4 linked regions of the Schizosaccharomyces pombe genome follow. The protein of the gene in region 1 interacts with the protein of each later gene in a biochemical or structural test. Each region holds a gene or a part of one and is shown in the gene's direction. Other genes may lie near its edges. The genes, in order: nep1, cul1, ned8 and cul4.

Region 1 (5,784 bases):
CAATCCACCTCCACCATGTCGATGACAATTTTACCTTTAGGTATGTAGATTTATTAGTACATTCTAAATTAGTTTCATAATAAGAAAAGGGAAAAATTATTGATTTATGCCCTGGGTAAATCTGTTCATGCTAACAAGCAGAATTAATTGATAAATGCATTGGATCAAACTTATGGGTGATCATGAAAAGTGAACGCGAATTTGCGGGGACACTTGTTGGATTCGATGATTATGTGAATATTGTTCTAAAAGATGTTACAGAATAGTATGAAATATAATAACTTTAATTATCTTTGCTAATTTCTATGAAGTGATACTGTTACCGGCGTTACCGAAAAACACTCTGAAATGCTTTTGAACGGAAATGGGATGTGCATGGTATGTCAATGAAAATAATAAAGGAATTTTTGTACACTAACTATCTAGTTGATTCCTGGTGGAAAACCCGAATAAGTTGGTACTTGGCTATTTAACAGTCTTTTGAAGATGAAGGAAGAGTGATTTTTGTTATTATCAAACAAATGGAGATATATTGCACGCCAAATCTAGCTCATACTGTGTGCACTCCATATATGGTAAAATATCTAGACCCAAGTCTCACTTTTTACATTAATTGAACAACAAGCGTTGGTAAAGCCATGTCTTCGGATACGGTTAAATTTGATCGAGTTATTTAAAGAATTTGATTGCAAAAATAAGGTATTTTATAGGACTGGTTGCATGTTTCTGAAATGAGTGATTATTCAAAAATAAAGGCTTAATACTTCCATCCTCCATAATTTTTCCTATTAGTGATTGTATCTCAAATTATACTACCAAAATGAATTGTTATTTCAGATGATGTAAACTGTGTTAAAGTTAATTGTTTGAATGTAATCTGACTGTAGAAATTGGCATAAACGGGATATGCATAGCCTACGATGATAGCAATTTTTCTTCTAATTTGAAAGACAACATACTAAACATTGATTTGAGTAGCCTTTACAGGATCTTACTATTCAAGTTATCTCTTCCAGCCCATCTGGTTGAATCATACTGACTTTTTTTTGTTCATGTTGGCCAAAATGGGGATTTATTATGATTATACACTGGAAAAAGTATGAATATTTGTTGTTTATCATTAATATAAACTAAAGTGACTAACCTTGTTATTGTAAACTCAAAATTTTGAGAATTAGTATCTTCAGCAGTTTTATGAAGGAAACGAAAAAGTAAAATTAAAATGAAAACGAAGTTTAATACTTTGGATTTATATATCTCATCATTTATACATTTGGATTATTAAGAAATTTTTGAATCCTCTCTTCCCTTATCCCTAAATAGTTAGAGAAAAACGACAAAACTCAGCTAAAACCATTAAACTTTTTCGTTTTAAATTCCAATCTCGTTGCTTTTAGGACTTGACTTTTTACATAGATGAAAATCACTATCGTAATGCTTTTGCTTTTTTTCTTTGATTTCTTTTTTTTGGCAGATTACAGCCGTCTTTCAATATAAACGCTATATTACTACAGTCTTTGTAAATATTATCTACTTGGTGCGCAGGCCAACCCGATTATATACTTTGATTTAAATCCCATTTAGCCTTAGAATTTTCGTAACAATAGCTCTGGACTCCTAGTAAAACTGTATTGCTTCCTGTATATTTGAATCATAACTCTTTTTTTTAAAAATTAATCGATTTTGAATCAACTAAACTGATTCTTGCGAATAATACGGATTTTAAATTGAGATATAAAAAGTTAATTTATTAATCCTTTTACATTCATCTATCTACTTGAATCAAGAAAAAGTACTATGAAGAAACGCTCGTGATTTAATCTGCAATGTTTACAGTCGAGTTTGTTACATTTCACTAGTGCTTCATAAAAAATTAGCGATCTAAATAAGTGCACGCAACGTTGTATTCCGGTTGACAAGAACACGCAAGATTTCGCAATAACTTAAAGTCTAGGATTGGCGTCACAGACAGTAAAGACGTATTCGTCCATTTACCAAACATTTTTATAATAGTCCTATGTCCTTGGCGTTTACGCTTTTAACCTCAAAAGATAACACAGATGAAGATGAAGAACACTTGGAGCTTTCTTCTTTTAATCAAGAAAAGCTCTTGGAAATGATATCTGTGTTTCTCTCGCGTCTAACGCGTTTGAACGATAGCAAGCAGGAAGCTACTGAATCAGATCAAATACCATTATCTCCAACAAGTTTAAAGAACCCTTGTTTGATATTTTCTGCAAAAAATGTGCCTTCCATATCTATTCAGGCTTATCTAACACGAATCTTAAAGTACTGTCCTGCAACTAACGATGTATTTTTAAGTGTTTTGATTTACCTTGACAGAATTGTTCATCATTTTCATTTCACTGTCTTTATCAACAGCTTTAATATTCATCGTTTCTTAATCGCTGGGTTTACGGCCGCAAGCAAATTTTTCAGCGATGTCTTCTATACTAACAGTCGCTATGCAAAAGTTGGTGGTATTCCCTTGCACGAATTAAATCATCTGGAGTTATCTTTTTTTGTGTTTAATGATTTCAATCTTTTTATATCTTTGGAGGACCTTCAAGCATACGGTGATCTTCTACTTTCATGGTATCGGCAAAATGGGCAGAATTACAACCCTACCGATGTTTCATGCTCTATTGAATCTCCCATTTCCCATACTCCGCAACAAAATCAACAAGATGAACAGCCACGTCGGCCCATAATGGATCGAAGGTTACTCTCTTCTCACTCAATTGGTTAAATTTACTACTGTGTTTGGTCCTCCAAATTTTTTTTTGCTTCCATCTATTTATCTTTATTTTCTGTTGAAAATATTTAATCTGATTATTTAAAACTTGGAAAAGTTACCTTGGTGCCTTTTGTCTGTATATATATATATTTCATTCTGCTGTGTCAATGTGGATACGACTAGTTTCTGAATTTTCAAGTGGCCTTTAAATTTTGTACTTGTATATGCTATTTCTCCTTTGTCTCTTATTTAATGTTTTTATCTCAAAACATGCCGTTTCATGAAATTCTCATTTATTACATTCGGATTATCTGACTTGCAATAAGGTTTTTGGAATTTGGAAATTGCATGCTACTTTTGTATTCGGTATTCTACTTTACGATGCTTACAACGCTTACGGTATATTGTGCTTTGGTTCCTTGTTTAAGTTAAGGCTGTTGTAAAGGTCCGCTATGATCAAAGTCCTTAGCTTACTCCGCTATCCCTGTTCCATTTGTTCCTTTCTCTTCACGTTGCAATTTGTTTATTTCTGCCGCCTACTCTGCAGTTGTTTTTTTTTATTTTAATTAAGCCGTCCAATCCTGTTTGTTTATTGAGCCTTACTTCTGTTTGGTATAGGAACGCTGTATTCCCGGTCTCTGGTTCCGCTTTCAATTCTCGTGATTTTTTTGTTTGTTTTAACCCGATAAAATAAACATTTTATTTTAACACTCGTGTTACTCTTCCGTTCGAGCTGTTTTGTTTGCGGACCTATTGTTTGTTTAAATTCCTTTTTTTCCCCATTTCGTACTTACTTTTAAACAATTTTTAAATGAGCAGTTCTCCAACCGTTCTTGAATGTAAGTTTACACATATATTGTGAAATCTCTGTCTAGAAGCGTTTAAGTTTGCTGAATAAAAACTAACTTGTGCTATTAAGTATTTGATGTGTGTTTTAAGCAGGAAGACGTGGATAGCTTAAAAAAGCCAAACTGGTAAGGAAATTTGGATACATGTTTTACTTTTACTTTGTGCATCTGAAATGAATCTTTCAATTAATACAAGCTAGGTTCACTGATGTGAGTATTGATTATGTTGACGAGTTAATTGAGCACCTATGGTTTCCCTCATACCCAAATCAAGCTAATGAAATTTTGCTGCTTCGCCCTTCGTTAGTTTTTCTACTAGCAGAAGCTGCTATTTCTCCTGAAGAGCTCAAAGTTGCTTTGCCTAAAAAGTTAATGAACTGCAAATATTTATTTATGCCTATCAATGATTTGGATAAACATGCGGCAGGAAGTGGAGGTTCACACTGGTCTTTAATGGTCGCAAGTATTCCTGATGGGCAATGTTACTATTATGATTCTCTCAGCAACGGAAAGACAAAAGATTGTCGCAGTGCCTTGGCCCGTGTTTCGGATCTTTTCAAAAAAAAATTTACAATAGAGTGTATGCCCGTACAACAACAAAGAAATGGATATGATTGTGGAGCACACGTTTGTGCTTTTACCCTTGAACTGGTTCGGCGTTTGTTACATTCACCGATGCCCACTAGCTCTATGTGGAATTTGTCTACATTTCAGCCAGATGTAACAGCTATTCGGGAGCAGTTGAGCCGTTGCTTAGACCATATAATTAACTCCTTGGGGACAAGGGTAAGCGGCGATTTTGACGAGGACTTTCCTACTGGCACTGTGTTTTTTGACTTAGAATCTCACCTTCCTCTTCTCGATGTTGCCCTCCCGGTTCTACCTAAATCATCCGACTCATCTGAAACATCACATGAAAGCTCTAACTCTAATTTGAAGAAGTCTTCAGAGTCAGGATCTACTAATCACCATAATAACCATGAAAGCGATAAGGACCTGCATCATGAAGGCCATCATCATCACCATCATCACCACCATCATCATCACAGTCATGACGATGACCCTTCCTCTCCTGCTGAGAAGAAACAGAATCATGTGCCTTCACCTTCTGAAAAGATACAAGATCATGTGCCTTCACCTTCTGAAAAAAAACAAGATCGTGTTCCTTCACCTTCTAACAACAAAGAAGATCATTTGCCATTACTCTCTGATGAGAAACTTGACAAATCTGCGATTGACAAAATTGAGCCTACGCCATTACCTTCTGTCCATATGAACAGTCATATAGCGAAGGGGGAGTTACCGAAATTTCATAATAGCACTGATAATCCTTTTCTCACTCCTCCGGAAGAACTTGTATCTGGTGATTTCCCTTTTTGATGCTACACTTGCGTTGTTTAGTTTCGAATATACAAACTAGCGGGAAGGCTTGTTTCAACTCAAACAATCTGAGTTTTATCCTATCTTGTGATGTGAATGGTTGTGTAATTTTTATCAGCAGTCGCTAAATCTTTTGCTGTTTACAAATATGTTATTATTATCACGAGTGCAATAATCGTTTGCTTAATTATTGATTGAAAAATGTTTATACAAGAGAAATTATTTATTTATTAGTAAATGACTTATCACTTCTTTATTTTTAGGTCGTTCATTATTATCAAAAAAGTTTGATAGTAAATTTCAAAAATTTTCATCCACAGTTTCTAATTGTACATTTCGTGAGTTTTGTCGATCTTCATCAGTTGCAAATGGGGATGTTTGATCTGAACTGGTTAAGATCGATGATTGATTGTCGTTCGTTGTAATGGAAGTCTGCGTATTCTCAAATCCTTCAGTCCCACTCATACCATTGGAATTTAATAGTGAATCAGCAGAAGTAGTTTGTATCCTTTCATTAATACCACTTGCAGCTTCTAACTGATTTAAAGATGTACGTATACTATTGTAATCAGCACGAAAGTTAGAAACCGTTTCTCGTAATTCATCAATTTTGGTATGAAGTTCACGAAGCTGAGAAGATATATTAGATGAAGCAGCGGGAAACGTATTAGACGTTTCATTCGACTGTGTTAATCCTCTACTCAATGGTACAACGTTGGGTAAAGAGGAGCCAAGATTATTATCTGCTGATGATGCGTTTTGATATAAAGATGTCATTGCTGAGTTGGTAGATAGAGATTGAGTATTGCTAGATACTAG
Region 2 (6,719 bases), on another chromosome or scaffold:
ATTTCTTTATCTTCTCTACTCAAAGAAAAGTCGGATTCACCAGCGGTAGGACCGGCAAAAGCAACAGCCTCCAGTTTATTAATATTTTCAATATCATCAACTATGCTATTGTTTTGAGGTGAGGTAGAATACATATCTGATCCTGCGCTATTTCCACCGTTAGGATATCTATTATATGTCTGAGAGCTGGGTCTAATAGAGAATCTATGGGTATAGCCACTAGCTCTTGTTCCGCCGACACCGGCTGCCAAGGCTGCACTGCTAAATGTAGCGTTGGAGGCATTGTTGTACAACAGACGAGTAGAGGAATCGGTGGGATTTGTGAAAGAAGAAGTACTGGTGTCTCTCGAAGCGTACATAGAACCAATCTCATTCACGTTACCATCCGAAGGGGTTTTGCGATTTAAATCGCCACGTACATTATACATGATAAATCCAACGAAACCAGTTAAATCCCAAGAAAGAAGAACAAAAATGAATGAAAAGAAAGCTTAGTTAAAGAAGATTTCGCGCTTAGACACGTAACCACAAAAAGTCTTCGCTGAGTTGTGACAGCAAATAGTCTTCAAAATACTTCCAGCAAGTAAAAAAAAAAAAAAAACGTTAAACAAAAAACAAAAAGAATCTAAAGGAAAAAGATGATGAGCCTCAATCTCGAGAACGAAAGCTAATTCACTTGAAAATTTTCCTTTTTCTTGTAAAGTGCTCGAAAGCACTTTTCGCGTAAACGCACAAAGTATTTAAAAAATAAATACAAAAGAATGAATACTTGTAGCGATTTTGGAACGCTGGTGTACCTCACCAAGGTGGAAATACGGAAAGGTAGTATATAGGACTAGGCAAACTCCAAATGGTTGTTTGCGGACAATAGCGAGGCAAAGTCGGCGGAAGTTTAAAAAGACTTGAATGAAAGAACAACTAGGTATTCTTTTTACAGATTAATAAAAGGAACAGGATTTTAAAATGGATAGTTAACCTTCCAAGTGTTGAAAAAAAAATTAAAAACAAAAGCCAAATTAATGACTTAAAAGTCCAAGTAACTTTTTTGAAATAAAGTTTGGTCAGTTCATAAAACAAGTATTTTCTTTTTTTTTTTTTTTTTTTGAGAAAAAAGAGGATTTGTTTACAGAAAAAAACAGGAAAGCAGAAAGACAGCGGTTTGAATAGCACAAGCTGAACTAGCTTATTTATAACGAAATTTTAAGTAAATACTGGAGACAAAGGTTAGTTATCCTCCCCCAATAAGATAACTGAGAAAAAGTCGATTAAGATAAAATTATGGAGAGAGAAATCAAAAGAAAGAAGAAAGGCCTAAAATAATAAGAAGATTGTATAATGACTATGGATTACTACTTTAAAATATATCTCTTAATATCACAGTATATAAACACTCTTGACTATTAGTGTGGAAATTGATGATGGATTGCAAAGAAAAGATGAGCGGATAGTTTCTAGAAAAAATTTTGGAATTCAAAAGACGAAGCAGTGATGTAAATAGCTTTTTTGCAGAGTTTCTTATGTTGAAATTGAATAATTACATAGAAACTTGAAGGTTCAAGGTTCATAAAAACGGAGAAAATGGGATATAATAGCAAATAAAAGAGAGAAACAGATATTATGTTTGTTTTTTAGAAAGAATCTCAACAAATTACAGATATTTTGATTGTATTGGAATACTAAACAAAAAAATATGTAAGTAAATAGTCAAGTGAGCAAAGTAGAACAATGCTGGCCACGCGTTAAAGGGGGAAAGGTGGTTAGCGAAGAATGGAATGTTTTCAACTCATTATTGCCATTCTACGAATATAAAAACACCTAAATTGTAAAAAAAAATAAAAAAAATAAAGCAAGCAAGTTTAAGTGATAAAGGAGGAAGCTAATTAGTTATGAAATTGAGAATAATTTTTGGTCTTATTCAGAATTAATAATAATTCGTCTGTTCCTAAGTGAATATAGAAAGCAGACTCCAAACGTGCGTATCCAAGCGCATTCTATTACTTTTATTTTAGTAGGTAAATGATAAAAAGTTCAATTTGAGGCCGCTTTTGATGCATCAACATTTTGCGACAATTTTACTTAGGAATTGGCTACCGTTAACGGCACTCAGAATTGTTTGAGGATGAGGCTCTGATGGTAAACAATAGATGGCGGTGCTCAAAAGATGGTATGAAGAGGTAATTTGTAGCGCGTTTGAGAAAGAGAAGGAAAAGTATTTCTGTTTTACAACATCTATGAAAGAGCATCCTGTTATGTTGGCCACATTGAAAATGTCAACCTATTTGAGGTCCAAATTAAACCCTTTTCAACATTTGTAAATATTTCATGGGTTTGAGATTTTCATTTAGTACAATATTACTATACACTTGTCAGAGATATCTTTTACACCATATGTGTATTTGCATCGAGCACTCAATATCCAGCGGATCGCATACATCATTCTTTTGGCAGAACAATAACTCAAATTTAAAGGATTTCTTTGGCATATTCATGTATATGTTGATAAATATTGGCTTTATGTCTTTGTTTTCATAATAATAAATGCGTTAATGAAGAATTTTTTAATATAATAATTATTTACTTAAAAAAAAATTAGATATTAAATATAATCTTATAAAGCACTTTTATAATGAGCTTTTGCTACGTACACCTGGCTACCTCTTGTACCTTCGTTCACTTCGTCGTTACCTGTAGGTTCTTGAAAGGATCAGTGCTACTATTTACTACGTTTACTCTATCTGCCATCTAAGAAAGAGCAATTGTGTGCTGAATAAAATATATTTTACTTGTTATACATTTATAACCATTTTGGTTAATGACTACTTTGAATACCAACGATAAAGACCTCCCGATTGTTAAAAAATATGATTCATTGAATGGAACGTATGTTACATTGTAACTGATTGACGATTGCTGATCTATATGCAGTTGGGACTTTTTAAAAACAGGTGTGTCCCAAATATTTGAAAGGCTAGATGAAGGAATGACTATCACTAAGTATATGGAGCTTTATACGTAAGTTAGTCCAATATTTTGAGATCTGAATACTAGTATATTAGTTATCAGATATTTCATGGCACCTATATTTATATACTTACATACTTTATTTTTAGAGCAATCCATAACTACTGTGCTGATGCGTCCAAAACTATAACGGTGGACAATTTCAACGATCAAAGTACGTAAAAAATAGATAAAAATTTATATTTTGACTCAGAATTTGTCAAAAAGAAGAACTACATATATTTTCTTATGATTATTTTCACTGGATTCTAACTGTATGTGCTAGCTGCAAACGTTTTAGGCGAAGCCCTTTACAATAATTTGGTTCTATATCTGGAAGAGTATTTGGCCCGTCTGCGAAAGGTGAGTTTAAATATCGGTTTTTTATTTATAATTCTACGACAAAGATTTCATTGCACCTCGAGTGTTCAGCAGTTTTCTTTAATTTCTAAACATTTTCTCTGGACATTTTAAAGAGTGCTAGCATAAGCATCTGGTCTTTTATTATGATTAAGGAATAAATTGCATTATGTGGTAATTTTTCTCGTGCTAATTGGCGCTTTAGGAATGCATTTCGCAAACGAATCATGAAGAGCAACTCGCTGCGTATGCCAAGTATTGGACGCGATTTACAACATCTGCCCGTTTTATCAACCATCTTTTTGGATATTTAAATAGATATTGGGTTAAACTGAAGAACAGATTTACTGAGACACTCGTGTACGACATTTACACACTTTGTCTTGTGTCATGGCATCATCACGTTTTTTCCCACATTCGCGATAGCCTACTTCAAAATTTGTTATACATGTTCACCAAAAAAAGATTATATGAACCTACTGATATGAAATATGTGGAAGTTTGTGTGGATTCTATCACTTCATTGAGCTTTGATAAAACCGATATGACAAAGCCTAACTTGAGCTCATACAAAACTTTTTTCGAAACAAACTTTATTGAAAATACAAAAAACTTTTATGCAAAGGAGTCTTCCGAATACTTGGCTTCCCATTCTATTACGGATTACTTAAAAAAGGCAGAAATAAGACTAGCAGAGGAGGAAGAGCTTGTGAGATTATATTTGCATGAATCCACATTGAAGCCGCTTTTAGAAGCGACTGAAGATGTACTAATTGCACAACATGAAGAAGTTTTGCACAACGACTTTGCACGCATGCTCGACCAAAACTGCAGTGAGGATATCATTCGCATGTACCGATTGATGTCTCGAACACCTAATGGGTTGCAGCCTTTACGCCAGACATTTGAGGAGTTTGTCAAGAGATCAGGCTTTGCTGCGGTTGCCAAAATTGTTCCCCAGGTCGGTGGAGAAGCCGATGTGGATCCTAAAGAGTATATGGAAATGTTACTTTCCACGTATAAAGCTTCCAAAGAACTTGTTAACACCGCATTTCATGGGGATACTGATTTTACAAAGTCATTGGATACAGCCTTTAGAGAACTTGTCAATCGAAATGTTGTTTGCCAGCGCTCTTCCTCTCGCTCCCCAGAGTTGCTTGCTAAATACGCCGACAGTATTTTGCGAAAAAGCAACAAGAATGTTGACATTGATGATGTTGAAGACTGTTTATCGTCGATTATCATTATTTTTCGTTATGTCGAAGACAAGGATGTTTTTCAAAACTTTTATACTAAGCTTTTAGCCAAGCGACTTGTGAATGGTACCTCTAATTCCCAGGATGCTGAATCTAGCATGCTATCTAAGTTAAAGGAAGTCTGCGGTTTTGAATATACTAGTAAGCTACAGCGTATGTTTCAAGACATCTCCTTGTCTCAAGAGATTACCGAAGCGTTTTGGCAACTCCCTCAGTCACGTGCTGGAAATATAGATTTCTCTGCTCTTGTACTTGGTACATCGTTTTGGCCTCTATCTCCCAACAATGTGAACTTTCATCTGCCAGAGGAATTAGTTCCTTTGTATGAAGGATTCCAAAACTATTACTATAGCTGCCATAACGGAAGGAAGTTAAGCTGGTTGTTCCATCTCTCTAAAGGAGAAATAAAGGCACGCATTAACCCTCAAACTAATGTCACTTATGTGTTTCAAGTTTCTACATATCAAATGGGTGTTTTGCTTTTGTACAACCATCGCGATTCTTATACATATGAGGAGCTGGCAAAAATAACTGGGTTAAGTACAGATTTCTTGACAGGGATTCTGAACATATTCCTAAAAGCAAAGGTGCTTCTCCTTGGCGACAATGACAAGCTTGGTGATCCTAATAGCACATATAAGATCAATGAAAATTTTAGGATGAAAAAGATACGGGTACAGTTAAATCTCCCAATTAGATCTGAGCAAAAGCAGGAATCTCTGGAGACTCATAAAACTATAGAAGAAGATCGAAAGTTACTGCTTCAATCCGCTATCGTCCGTATCATGAAGGCTCGCCGAACATTGAAACATGTAGTGTTAGTGAAAGAGACTATTGATCAAATTAAAAGCAGATTTACTCCTAAAGTGTCTGATATTAAGCAATGTATAGATATGTTAATCGAAAAAGAGTACCTGGAACGCCAAGGCCGCGATGAATACATTTACCTTGCTTGAGAGAAACATCTCCGCGAAATGCTCCAAAAAAAATGATATACTTTTCGAGTGTTATATATGTAATTAATCACGCAATACGAATTTTCTTTTTTCTTTTGTTTACATTCTTGTCTGCTAGTGATCTTTAATCCATTGAAACTAAGCTTTTAATAACGTAGGAAAGTCACCACTCCATTGAAGAAATGTGTAGCTTAGCTACATGCAAGCTATGCAACTTTTTTTTACTACTAGTTACTGGATAGCAACAACAAACTTCTATTATCCCATCATTTTACGTGGATAAGTCGTACAATGAAAAAGAAAAGAAAACAGTTATCGACCACATACATGCACCATTTCACGAAGTACAGATGCTTGAAATTGTGAAAGGATGTCAAAGATATGTTTTATATAATACATTTATTGTCAATTGTCGTCTTCGTCTTCCTCTGCAAATCGCTTGATTCTGTTAAAAAAGACATATATTGATTATTCAGCACGAAGAACGAAATGGTGCTTACAAATTAAAAAAAATTAATTGATCAGACTAATTAAGGCAATTTTAACGTTTTTATTGATTTACTACTTCCAGGTGTTGCTGGAGTGTTCATGGATGAAATGGATGATTCCGGTACATTCCGGTGCCAACACCATAGTATGACATAAATGAGTAAACATCGCGGTTCGCTCATTCTTCTTCAACACACCATCTTCCTTGACATATCGTTCTGAAAAAAAATACTAGGAAGAGAATCGTAGCATAATGGCGACTTTATTTCATCTTATAGATGTACATGGTAATGAATATCAAAATGTGCAAGACCACAGCCTTCAAATGGCCTTAGAAGAGCTGAATCAACAAATCGAAGTGATTCAACGCCAAGAAGAACAATTGGCTTTGCGAAAGAAGGCAATTGAGGATGCAAGGCAAGAAGTGCTCCAGCAAATTCAACATCGAAAATTCCGTCAATACTTGCATGAACGGGAACAAGAGGCTCGTTTGCAAGAGTATTATTTGGAGCAACTGCAAGAGCGTAGAGCTTTTGAAAATGTTGTACGGACTATAATCAGAAAGCGATTTGAGGATGAGGAGCGTGAAAGAGCTCATCGCAGGGAAAAGGCGGCTCGAAAGTTGCTACGCAGAATACTTGTCTCCGATTCACCCAAT
Region 3 (4,513 bases), 980 kb from region 1:
TATAAGTAATTAGTAAAATATATATATGATATCCTTAACCAGATTTTAGTAAAAAAAATTTGGAATTAATTGTGGAAATGTAATCTAAATTTATTGAATGTATCTACTGCTTCAGTTGCTTAAAGTATTTTACTTCTTAAATATCAAATTGATCGCAGAATTATGTGTAGATAAACGCTTAATTGCATTTTTCACAAATTTGTTAAGTAATCGTTGTAAATGTAAAGTAAATATACAAATGCAGTAATTCAAAAATAAATGCTGATGAATAAGAACTTAATATTTGCTGAACAACTCCAATTAATCTTCCAAGTTCTCAAATATTTAAAAATACTAAAAGACTTTCCTATATTTCCAAAACCCCGTTTTTTTTTCCATTCCCTAAAAATACATTGCTACATACTAAATCCAAAGGATGCTTGATTTTTTCTTTTTTTGCTTTTTTTCAACTGTCGGTAATCCTCTTCTAATTCAGATAAAGCATCCGATTCCTCATCTATTAAGTCATCGTTTTCCGTTTCTTGTGCTCCAGCTTTTGATACTATTTCTTGTTTCAGGTTATTAGAAGCTTCGTTTTTCTGTGCCTTCAAAAATTCTTTCTTGGATTTCCTTTTTTCACGTCGGGTGTTACGCTTCTCCTTTACTTCCTTTTGTTTGGACCAAGCTTCGTTCTTAATTTTTGCTGGCCGAGCTAATTTTTTGGGTTCAGTTTTTTCGACTTCCAATCGGCGTCGTCTGGCCTGCTCGCGTACTTGATCACGGTATGGTATGGTTGCATAATCAATGTCAAATTTTTTAAAAATATTTTCGGATATTTCGGTGTCTTTTAACTCTGGCATTTTTGGAAGATGTAATAAAGCGTATGCCGTGGCCAACTGTCCCAAATCCAAATCTTTGATACGAAAAATAAACGACGCATGATGTTTTGTGTACGCACGAACATGTGAAACAAACGCTCTTAATCCCTTATCATATAGATCTCTGTCTTTGGATACGATTTTTCTCAATTCGTGGGTTAATACTTTAAGTCGTGAAAGATCTAAAGCTTCAATTGGAGTGTCTATACGAGTAATAGGTACCTTCCTAACCCTTAACAATTCCTCATATTCTTCTTCTCTTCCATCATTTAACAAAACTATTGCAACACCCGCTCGACCAGCGCGACCAGCTCTGCCGCATCTATGAGAAAAAGATTTCGGATCCAAAGGCGGGTCGAGCTGAAGAACAAAGTCAACATTTGGAATATCAAGACCCCGGGAAGCAATGTCAGTTGTAAAAAGAACTGTTTTTTTATTTGATTTCTTAAATTTTTCAAAATTACGTGATCGATTCGACTGAACTTGCTGTCCATGCAAAGCTACTATTTCAAACGGTAATTTATAAGTGAGAAAAAGGGAGTTAAAATATTCAACAGAAGCACAAGAAGAAAAAAAAACAATTGCTTTTTCGTATTCGATCGTACAAAGCAAATGTATCATACATTGTACTTTGTATATGGGAGGAATCACTAAAGATTGTATAGCTAGACTTGACGGTGTTCTTGTATCAATTTTTTTTGATGTAACTGTCACAGAAACACGTACGCTATTTCGAAGGCCAGCAATTTTTAAAAATGATGACACAGTGTCATTCATTGTTGCGCTAAACAACCCAGTTCGACGTTGTTTCGGAAGTTGAGATATAATGGATTGTAATGTACGCTGAAATCCCATGTCAATAAGGGTATCAGCTTCGTCTAATATTAGTATTTCCAAATGCTTACTGGATATATGAGAAAGCATTTCATTCAATCGACCGGGTGTACCAATCACCACTGAGGGGTTTTTTTCCCGAAATGAAGCTAAATCATTCGTGAGCGTTCCCTTTCCCCCAATATACATATCTGCAACGAGTTTTTTCCCTCCATCCAAAGAGTCTGGTTGGTACGCCAAAAGCTCTTTGGTAACATTGAATATCTGTGTAGCTAATTCACGAGTAGGTGCAACAATTAATGCACCCAAACCTGTTTCGTCCGTATCTCTACGAGTGACTTTATCGAAGCAAGGAAGTAAATAGGCCAAAGTCTTGCCTGAACCCGTTACTGCTTCAACTACCAGATCTTTATTTTTCAAAAATAATGGTATGGCATTAGCCTGAACGGGTGTCATTTTTTTAAATCCTTGAGCAGCTACGGCGTTCTTTCTAGTTTATGTTAGTGCTTGTAAATTGTTGATTTGACAAAATCCTGGTATCATTTAGATAATAAAAATTTTTGAACAGGTTAAACATGTAGCAGAACCTAAAATTTTTATTTTAGAATTGAAAACTTACAGCCATTTATCTATATTAATACTCTGAAAACTCATTGTCCCCTCTTTGAAGACCAATTCAATTTTTCGCGAGGTGAGCCAGAGGGGAATGCTTATAGGGAGAGAGAGGAACTGCTAGCGTTTAACCACAACAATTTCAGAAAAGCGTTTATAAAAGTTAGCATGCTTATCAAAGTAAAAGTAAGATAAATTTATTTCTTTTTTATGTATACTAATATATAATCATAGACATTGACAGGGAAAGAGGTTCGTGTTTTAAATGTTGAAAACATTTATATGCAGTTATAATTCATCTATGTTTCTAACCAAAATATAAGATCGAATTAGACATTGATCCAAATGACAAGGTTTCTAGGATCAAAGAACGGGTTGAAGAAAAAGAGGGTATCCCTCCTTCACAGCAGCGTCTGATCTACGCTGGAAAGCAAATGTAAGCACTATGGGAACATCCATACAATGATTCTAACAAACATCACGTAGGGCTGATGATAAAAATGCTGAAAGTTATCATTTAGAAGGAGGCAGCGTCTTGCATCTTGTGTTAGCTCTTCGTGGAGGAAGTTGCTAGTTGTTGCATACTTTATTTATAAAGAAAAATTATGTATAAAAAATCATACTTTTATTTAACGCTATAAACGAAATCTTTTTACTGTTTTACTAATACTAAGAGTAACGAAATGAGAATTGAGTCGCTTTATTATTGCTCTGTTTCATTTTATGTGAATCTATTGATTTGTATAAAAATATTGCTTAAGCTTTTCTAAACTTAAGACGTTTTGGTGATCATGAATTTCAGCGATAAGATTGATTACTTCTTGTTAATTTATGAGTAAAGTAGTCGTAAAGAGACGTTTTGCACAGAAAAGTCAATATATAACAACAATTGCTTGCGCATTCCCATCTGATATCAAAGTATATAAAGCAGTAGCATGCGAAGCAAAACTTCCTCAGTACAACATCGAATGTAATTACCATAAACGCAAAATCTCTAGTAAGACTAAAAGAAAATGTTGTTTAAATAAAACTAACTGCAAAATGCTATGTAGCAAAAACATGGGCTGTTGTGGGAATCGAACCCACGACCACCATCACCCTAAGATGGTATCATACCACTAGACCAAACGGCCACATTGATAGGGGTGCCACTTAAACATATATAAAGGAAATATACATGTAAATCTATATAAATTACATTTTTAAGGAGGAAAGTATAATCAATATGCTTATAAATTGCCATTTCAATGTATTGATTCTCATTTTTCTATTTAAGAAGTTTTAAATTTTTTTTGTTTATGAGAAAGTGACATCGGCTTTAAGGAACTGCTCTATTTAAAAGCAAGAGAGATTCATTTAATTATAAATAGTCTGCATAAAGCCAAATTACTATTATAAAAATTAAAAAAAAATGATATTCTTTCTTAATTTCAAATTAATTCTGATAACCGGATTTTCGAAGTTTTATGTAATCTTAAGATTGAAGTACTAGTTTTTATAATCGTGAGTACAAAAAATCCATCCAAAAATCTTTGGGCTGTATATTTAAGAACAAATTAAAGTAACTTTAGTTTAATCAACAAAGGTAAGGATTTATAAACTTCATTAGGTGTTTTTTAAAGTTATTAAAAAAAAAAAAAAAAAAAAAAAAATCTCTCAAATTGTTCGGCTACAGATTTTTTGAAAGCTTCTATTTTCCAATAAGGATTCTAATAAAATATAATAAAGAGGGAAAAATGATGCTAAATTATAATTTTTTTTATTGGTTTCCCAAATTTTTAATCTTTTTTTATTGAATTAATGTTGTAATAATTTAAAAAATATTGTATTAAAGAGTAATGTTTATGATCGCAACTAAGCACTTTTCTCCGCCTGGCGGTAGTTCTAGCTTACTAAGTGCTATAATTTCACCTATTTAAATTTTTGATTAAAACCGTCAACCAAAATTATAATTCAAATGCGTGGATTTATTGCAAACTCTTTAAAGCCGCATATGAGATCTTTTGCTCTGCGCAGAAGTTTTACTAGCTCTCGTATTTTGAGAAAGGTGAACGCAGTTGAATCGTTTGGCGATTACAATACTCGAATTAGGTATGTATAGTCAATAATATATCATAGTAAAAAATAAAAGATAAAACTTTTTCGAATAGATCTCCTTGCTAATTGCTACTAGTGCTGACAAAGTTACCGTCGTTGATTTCTATGCAGAC
Region 4 (6,466 bases), on another chromosome or scaffold:
CTTCCCGTAGATGTGCGGCTTCAGGAAGCGAGACAGTTGATATATCAGCATCCTCATCTTCTTGAATGTTTACAGGATGACGCCTTCTTATGGAAGAAGCAATAGAGTTGGCAGAGGAGCGCAACGCATCAACTCTTTTAATTGGTAAGCTTTGTCCTTGACGAACACGAGGTAAGTTAAAAGCAAAATGAGAGTCCCTTGTTCTCGTAAACGACAAAGCCAACGTATTAATCCTTTTACCAAGCATGAAAAATGCAATACTGCTTCCATGAACAATGATAGAACTTAGAACCAGGAAACAAACTACTGGCCACATTACTTGTATGCAATACCAGTTTGGAATTTCAGGGTTTTCGATAGCATCATTAGGCTCAGGTACAGTGCTATGTACTTCTAATTCGGCTCGTGCAACCAAACAAGTATACAGTGCACCTACACCAATAGGACCAAAATGACCAGCAAAGAGAGCTTCTCGCCAATTGATAATATCAGGAACAAATGATTTAAATAATAAAACGGCAGGAATTCTCCTTGCAATTAAAATACATATAGCCAATACAACGAGTCGCCATACACTCAAATCCATATGTGGCATGTGAAATTGAGGCCAGGGCATGATAGCACCCACGTATACAAAAAAGGAAAGATTGAGAAGAAGGTCGATAACGTTGGAAACATGAGATTCTTCTGTTTTTTTCGAAAACCATGAGTCCCAAGAGAAAGCAGCACCAGCACAAAAAGAAACTAACAAATCATCGACACCAATGATGGTACCAATACCACCACAAAATAGTGCTAAAACGAAGTAGAATACAAGAAAACTTTCACGATCCATTAATCCTCGACGTTCCGAAAATTTAATCATCTTACGGGCTATTACACCTATTATTGCACCTAGCACACAGCCAAAGGTGCATTCGTATAAAATAATGATACATACCCAATCGCGGCCAGCATGTCGGGCAGGTTTCTCAATAATTAAATAAATAGCTAAATACAGAAAAGGAATTGCCATGCCATCATTACATCCAGATTCGGCCAAAAGCATGTTCCTAAGATGACCTGGGACTCGACGTGCAAATTTACCTTTACCGACAATAGAAGAAGCCAACACTGGATCTGTCGCAGTAATACATGCCGCTATAGCTAATGACTCCAGAAAAGAGAGTCTGGGAATTAAAGCATACATGAAGCCAGTACTTACTAGCCATCCAAAAATCATAACAGGCAAAAGCATAACAAACATACTGCGCCAATGTCGAAGCATATATGCTCTTGGAAGTTCAGCGCCAGCTGCAAAAACTTCGACAACTAAAAGGACTCGAGCAAGTTCCTCGGTGATGTAGTCGGTATTACCCCAGCTGGTGGGAACAAACAGTTTTGCAACGTAAGGACCAAAAATGAGACCCGTAGCAGTTGCCATAGCTATATTAAGTTAGTATGCTTCACATATATGAAGAATTGAAGAGTAAAAATAATATGGTGGAATATGCACACTGAAATATCTAGAGATCGCTCTTTATTTAACGAACGTAAACCGAAAGAATAATCTGGAATTACTACCAGCTAAATCAAACAATTCAAGTATCGTTTCAACACGCAAATCAAACAATTGTGCTTTGCAACCACTAATAACTTACTTGCTTCGCCCAAAAAAAGCTTTTCCTTAATAATTAAAGAACATAACATAAATAATGAAGTAAATCCTCCTATAATAGCATATGCTAGATGTGGTTTGGAAATCTCGACTTGACTCCATGCCATTCTCTTTCCAAGTCAACCTGACCTTGTAATTTCAAACCTATATAAACAAAAAGACAAATAAAAAACTTTATAGAAACTATAGAGAAGCTAATAGTTTACTCAAGCACCCAATTGTTTCAACAACTGGCGTTCGTTGTGGATAGTGGAGGATAAACATGGAAAACAATAGTTAGCTAATTGCAATGAGTCGCAGCTTGAAAATCTCTAAAAAACTGAAGAATTTCTAAAGTGAAAAAAAAGGCTTATTTAGTGAGATGGACACAAAAAAATAGCTTGAAAGTGAAATAGGAACTTCGTACCTTGTCTATATGTGCTGCTCTAAACCGACTTTTCTGAACGTCACTACTTGAGCACAAAATTGGTTTTTGCAGGTGAAACTATAGTAGTGAAAGAGCTCAGGCTTTCCACACATCTATTTATTACTTTTTATTTCACATTAGCACACCTATGCCTCCAGAAGCAAAACGTATCGTGGTTAAAGGCTTTGACCCACGAAAGTCGAGGCAAAGACAAGAGACCTACTATGTGACGATGATAGATCGTTTGAACATGGCTTTGCAAGTAGTGATGGCCGGTTTAGGCTTAAAAACAGGTTACCAAGAGTTATATTCGGGAGTCGAAAATTTAACAAGAGCGGATCAAGCATCTCGGTGCTTTAACATCCTACAACATCATATGTCTTCAGGAATCCAGCTTTTAAAGGATTCTGCGGAGTCTTTTATACAGCTTGAAGGGACTGAAACAGACACTAATGCATGCACCGTAGTAGTAGGGTGTTGGAACAAATGGTTGGAAAGAGTCGAGATTGTTCAAAACATATTCTATTACATGGACAAAACATTTCTTTCTCACCATCCAGATTACCCGACAATCGAAGAGCTGTCTCTGTCACTTTTTCGTGAAAAGTTGATGGCAGTCAAAAACATACAAATTCCCTTTTTGAACTCTCTTCTCCAAAGCTTTGAAAATTTACATAGCTCTAAAAGCACTGATCACGCCTATTTACAGGATGCGATGTTAATGCTACATCGCACGGAAATGTATAGCTCTGTGTTTGTTCCCATGTACTTAGTTATGCTAAGCCGTTTTTATGATACGGAGTCTAGCCAAAAAATTCAAGAGCTGCCTTTGGAAGAGTACTTGGAATATGCGATGAGTTCGCTTGAGCGGGAGGATGCCTACGTTGAAAAGTTTGATATTGTGCGCGATAAAAAGTCCATTCGAGAGACTGTTCAAAGGTGTCTAATTACTTCACATCTTGACACACTCACAAAGGGTATAAGTCAGTTCATTGAAAAAAGGGATGCCCATTCTTGTAAACTACTGTATGCATTACTGCAATTCAATCATGAAACCGAATATTTAATTCAGCCCTGGTCGGATTGCTTAGTGGACGTTGGTTTCAAGCTCGTTAACGATGAATCAAAGGATGATACTTTGGTTCAAGAGCTGTTATCGTTCCACAAATTCTTACAAGTCGTGGTGGATGAAAGTTTCCTTCATGATGAAACCCTTTCGTATGCCATGCGAAAAGCCTTCGAGACGTTCATTAATGGGGCAAAGGGATCTCAAAGAGAAGCTCCAGCTAGGCTTATTGCAAAATACATTGATTATTTGCTACGAGTTGGCGAACAGGCTTCAGGGGGTAAGCCTCTGAAAGAAGTATTTTCGGAAATTTTGGATCTTTTCCGCTACATCGCTAGTAAAGATATCTTTGAGGCGTATTACAAGCTGGACATTGCAAAACGGCTTCTCCTTAATAAATCTGCAAGTGCGCAAAATGAATTAATGCTTCTGGATATGCTTAAGAAAACCTGCGGTAGTCAGTTTACTCACTCTTTGGAGGGTATGTTTCGAGACGTTAACATTTCAAAAGAATTTACTTCTTCTTTTCGTCACTCAAAGGCTGCTCATAACCTTCATAGAGATTTGTATGTTAACGTCTTGTCCCAAGCTTACTGGCCCTCTTATCCAGAATCACATATCCGGCTTCCAGATGATATGCAACAGGATTTGGATTGTTTTGAAAAATTTTACCTTTCAAAGCAGGTTGGGAAAAAAATCAGTTGGTACGCTTCGCTAGGACATTGCATCGTAAAAGCCCGATTTCCACTGGGCAATAAGGAACTAAGTATATCGCTTTTCCAAGCCTGTGTCTTACTTCAATTCAACAATTGTTTGGGTGGAGAAGGGATTTCGTATCAAGATTTGAAAAAATCTACAGAGCTCTCTGATATCGATTTGACTCGTACATTACAGTCCTTGAGTTGTGCTCGCATTCGGCCATTAGTGATGGTTCCCAAAAGCAAAAAACCCAGTCCAGACACCATGTTTTATGTTAATGAAAAGTTTACAGATAAGTTATATCGTGTAAAAATTAACCAAATTTATTTAAAGGAAGAGCGGCAAGAAAATTCTGATGTTCAAGAACAAGTAGTGAGAGATCGACAGTTTGAGTTGCAAGCCAGTATCGTTCGAGTAATGAAACAAAAGGAAAAAATGAAGCATGACGATTTAGTTCAATACGTTATAAACAATGTTAAGGATCGGGGAATACCCTTGGTGTCTGATGTGAAAACTGCCATTGAAAAACTACTAGAGAAAGAGTATCTAGAACGCGAGGATAATGATATTTATACATATGTCACCTAATAGAGTATGCATTTGTTTTTTAATTGATTTAATTTAATTTTTCTGGTTATATGTTTATTCTTTTTCCATCCTTTTTGTTATTTGCTGGTGAATCTCCAGTGGATTTTTTTTCTCTATTCTCATATGTCGTTCATACACACACCTCTTTACCTGTCCGTGTCAAGTAATGCTATTGAAATCTGGAAACCAATTCAAGGAAGTCTGCACTGCTCTCCAATCAGTTTGGAAAAGGAACAATTCCAAAGTTCATTCTAAAATTGTACCTTGCATTTTTGCCTTCTACGAAAGTGTTCGCGCTAAGTACCGCATTTTCCAATGTAAGGATTAACATGGATGGAATGTGGTGCTGCTTATCACACTTATAGAACACCTTTATTTACAAAATCTAAAGTAAAAATTTAATAAATCTAATTAATTTTGTAAAGCCCAAGGTATTCTATTTTGGTTTTCCTGCCCATAAACACCTCTTATATTATTCATTATTTACATCTCTAAGTGACAGTGATGTGTGTGTTACTTGATGTAGATGTAGCTGAAACACGTGTTTGTTTGGATGTATTCAGAACCAACATCAAAACACTCCTATGTAAGCAATAAATTGAATAAGTTGAAGTATTTGGCGTAGGAAATTGGGACATTTAGCGTTATTGATTCTCTAAGCTTCTTGATCAGTTCTAGGTGAAAGCAAATAAACGGTATCTTCTGTTTTGTCCGTCACGAATTCCCTCATAAGAATGGAGTGACATAGTTAAAACGAGAAGGAATTTACCATTGATTCTAGTTTGCTTGATCTTCTTTGATTATATAACCTAGCTTCTCACCTACACATCTACCCCAGCATGCTTCTAACAGACTAAACACAAATCAAAAGCGATGCGCGCGCGTCCTGTCTTCATTAACGTTGTCTAAAGTGTATTACTGTATTATTAGATAACGCGGTTGGTATTTTTTGCTGTCAGATTTTGCGAGCTTGGTGTTAGATCACGTTATACGTCTCTTTATAATGACATGGCTCCTCTAGATGCAATGAGGGAATTTTCGGTTACGCCGCTGCGCATGCATAGAGTTTGTGAAAAAGTTGCACCCCACAATCCCCTGTGACCATGACTAAAGGTAGAACCTTTTTTGAGGTGAAGCAACTGTATATGAGTTTTTGAAACTATCGGTTTTGTAGGTGTTTTTGAGCGTCTCTATTTATTTACATTGCTAATCGAAGTCAAGAAACAACAATGTCCGGTATGTTGTAGCGGACGCGGCTGGAATCGCTGAATGGTCGCTCCCTCTTTCACAGAGGCGGGCCATGAATCGCTGTGCAGATACATGTCGTCAGCGTTACGGGAGTCATCATTAAAAGTCCGCAAACGGATCCGCCCGTACAATTTATCAAAATAGTCTCGCTCGTGTATTAAATTGTCGTTAAAATACCCTGTCCGACTTTGACAACTACCATTACACCTACCGCTCATTTTTTACCATTTGGCTGTACTGATTGATTACCTACAAGGATATCATATCAGCCTTTGGAAAATACGTTTTATTAAATCGACGCTTATCTGCGCAATCGTCGAGTGTATAAAAGGAGCACACTTACATAGCTGAGTACGCCGTAAGTGTTGTACTTGGTTTATTATATTTTTTTTTCTTTTTCTTTGTAGTTTGCTTCTCTTCGGAGTCACTTTAACCACCCCCTCCCAACTCAACTTAATTATTCAGTCTTTGCGGCCTCTGTTGATCCTATCCATTTCTTCAACTGACCGAATATTATTTTACCCCTGATATATTTTCTTTGTTGTTAAAATAAAGACCCATTTCTTCATCTTTTAAAAATCTCCCCTCTTAAGGCTTTTCAAGCAAACAGTTGATATCCACAATTTTTTTAACTTTCCTTGATTGTGTTTGTGGATAACTTATTACCCCCCTCTCTCTCCCCTCTTCTTTGTGTATTTTTATCACATAATAAGTTAGCATCTTTTTTTGTTTCTCTCGAAGTTTTCTAGTAGTTGCTTGTTAGTATGCTTTTTTCTCGGTCTATTCTCCGAGGAATGCCAAA

Evidence for each region.
Region 2: the proteins of nep1 (region 1) and cul1 form a complex in vitro, tested with the Schizosaccharomyces pombe proteins (one study listed by BioGRID).
Region 3: the proteins of nep1 (region 1) and ned8 form a complex in vitro, tested with the Schizosaccharomyces pombe proteins (one study listed by BioGRID).
Region 4: the proteins of nep1 (region 1) and cul4 form a complex in vitro, tested with the Schizosaccharomyces pombe proteins (one study listed by BioGRID).

Annotation. Positions count from the first base shown.
Region 1 is NC_003423.3:3,301,289-3,307,072, forward strand, and holds nep1 (NEDD8 protease Nep1), read left to right. Parts: upstream 1-3,246; 5' UTR 3,247-3,548; coding exon 3,549-3,576; intron 3,577-3,656; coding exon 3,657-3,711; intron 3,712-3,785; coding exon 3,786-4,965; 3' UTR 4,966-5,265; downstream 5,266-5,784. Other genes in the region: U6 snRNP-associated protein Lsm5, read left to right, coding at 16-40, 142-265, 312-378, 427-453; psl1 (pho85 family cyclin), read left to right, coding at 2,018-2,749; synviolin family ubiquitin-protein ligase Hrd1, read right to left, coding at 5,266-5,784. UniProt on the Schizosaccharomyces pombe protein: Protease that catalyzes two essential functions in the NEDD8 pathway: processing of full-length NEDD8 to its mature form and deconjugation of NEDD8 from targeted proteins such as the pcu1, pcu2 and pcu4 cullins and other proteins.
Region 2 is NC_003424.3:3,609,312-3,616,030, forward strand, and holds cul1 (cullin 1), read left to right. Parts: upstream 1-2,745; 5' UTR 2,746-2,812; coding exon 2,813-2,880; intron 2,881-2,925; coding exon 2,926-3,012; intron 3,013-3,110; coding exon 3,111-3,175; intron 3,176-3,286; coding exon 3,287-3,363; exon of another isoform or gene 3,364-3,565; coding exon 3,566-5,572; downstream 5,573-6,719. Other genes in the region: ghs2 (glucosidase), read right to left, coding at 1-428; protein slt1, read left to right, coding at 6,315-6,719. UniProt on the Schizosaccharomyces pombe protein: Core component of multiple cullin-RING-based SCF (SKP1-CUL1-F-box protein) E3 ubiquitin-protein ligase complexes, which mediate the ubiquitination of target proteins.
Region 3 is NC_003423.3:2,318,215-2,322,727, reverse strand, and holds ned8 (ubiquitin-like protein modifier for cullin Ned8), read left to right. Parts: upstream 1-2,432; 5' UTR 2,433-2,471; coding exon 2,472-2,489; intron 2,490-2,537; coding exon 2,538-2,555; exon of another isoform or gene 2,556-2,626; coding exon 2,627-2,739; exon of another isoform or gene 2,740-2,789; coding exon 2,790-2,877; 3' UTR 2,878-2,970; downstream 2,971-4,513. Other genes in the region: ATP-dependent RNA helicase Spb4, read right to left, coding at 396-2,181, 2,311-2,345; thioredoxin Trx2, read left to right, coding at 4,261-4,394, 4,477-4,513.
Region 4 is NC_003424.3:3,450,845-3,457,310, forward strand, and holds cul4 (CLRC complex subunit, cullin 4), read left to right. Parts: upstream 1-2,100; 5' UTR 2,101-2,211; coding exon 2,212-4,416; 3' UTR 4,417-4,903; downstream 4,904-6,466. Other genes in the region: nde1 (NADH dehydrogenase), read left to right, coding at 6,429-6,466. UniProt on the Schizosaccharomyces pombe protein: Required, indirectly, for activation of ribonucleotide reductase through the degradation of the protein spd1, thereby supplying deoxyribonucleotides for DNA replication and repair. Also has a role as a scaffold for assembling ubiquitin ligases.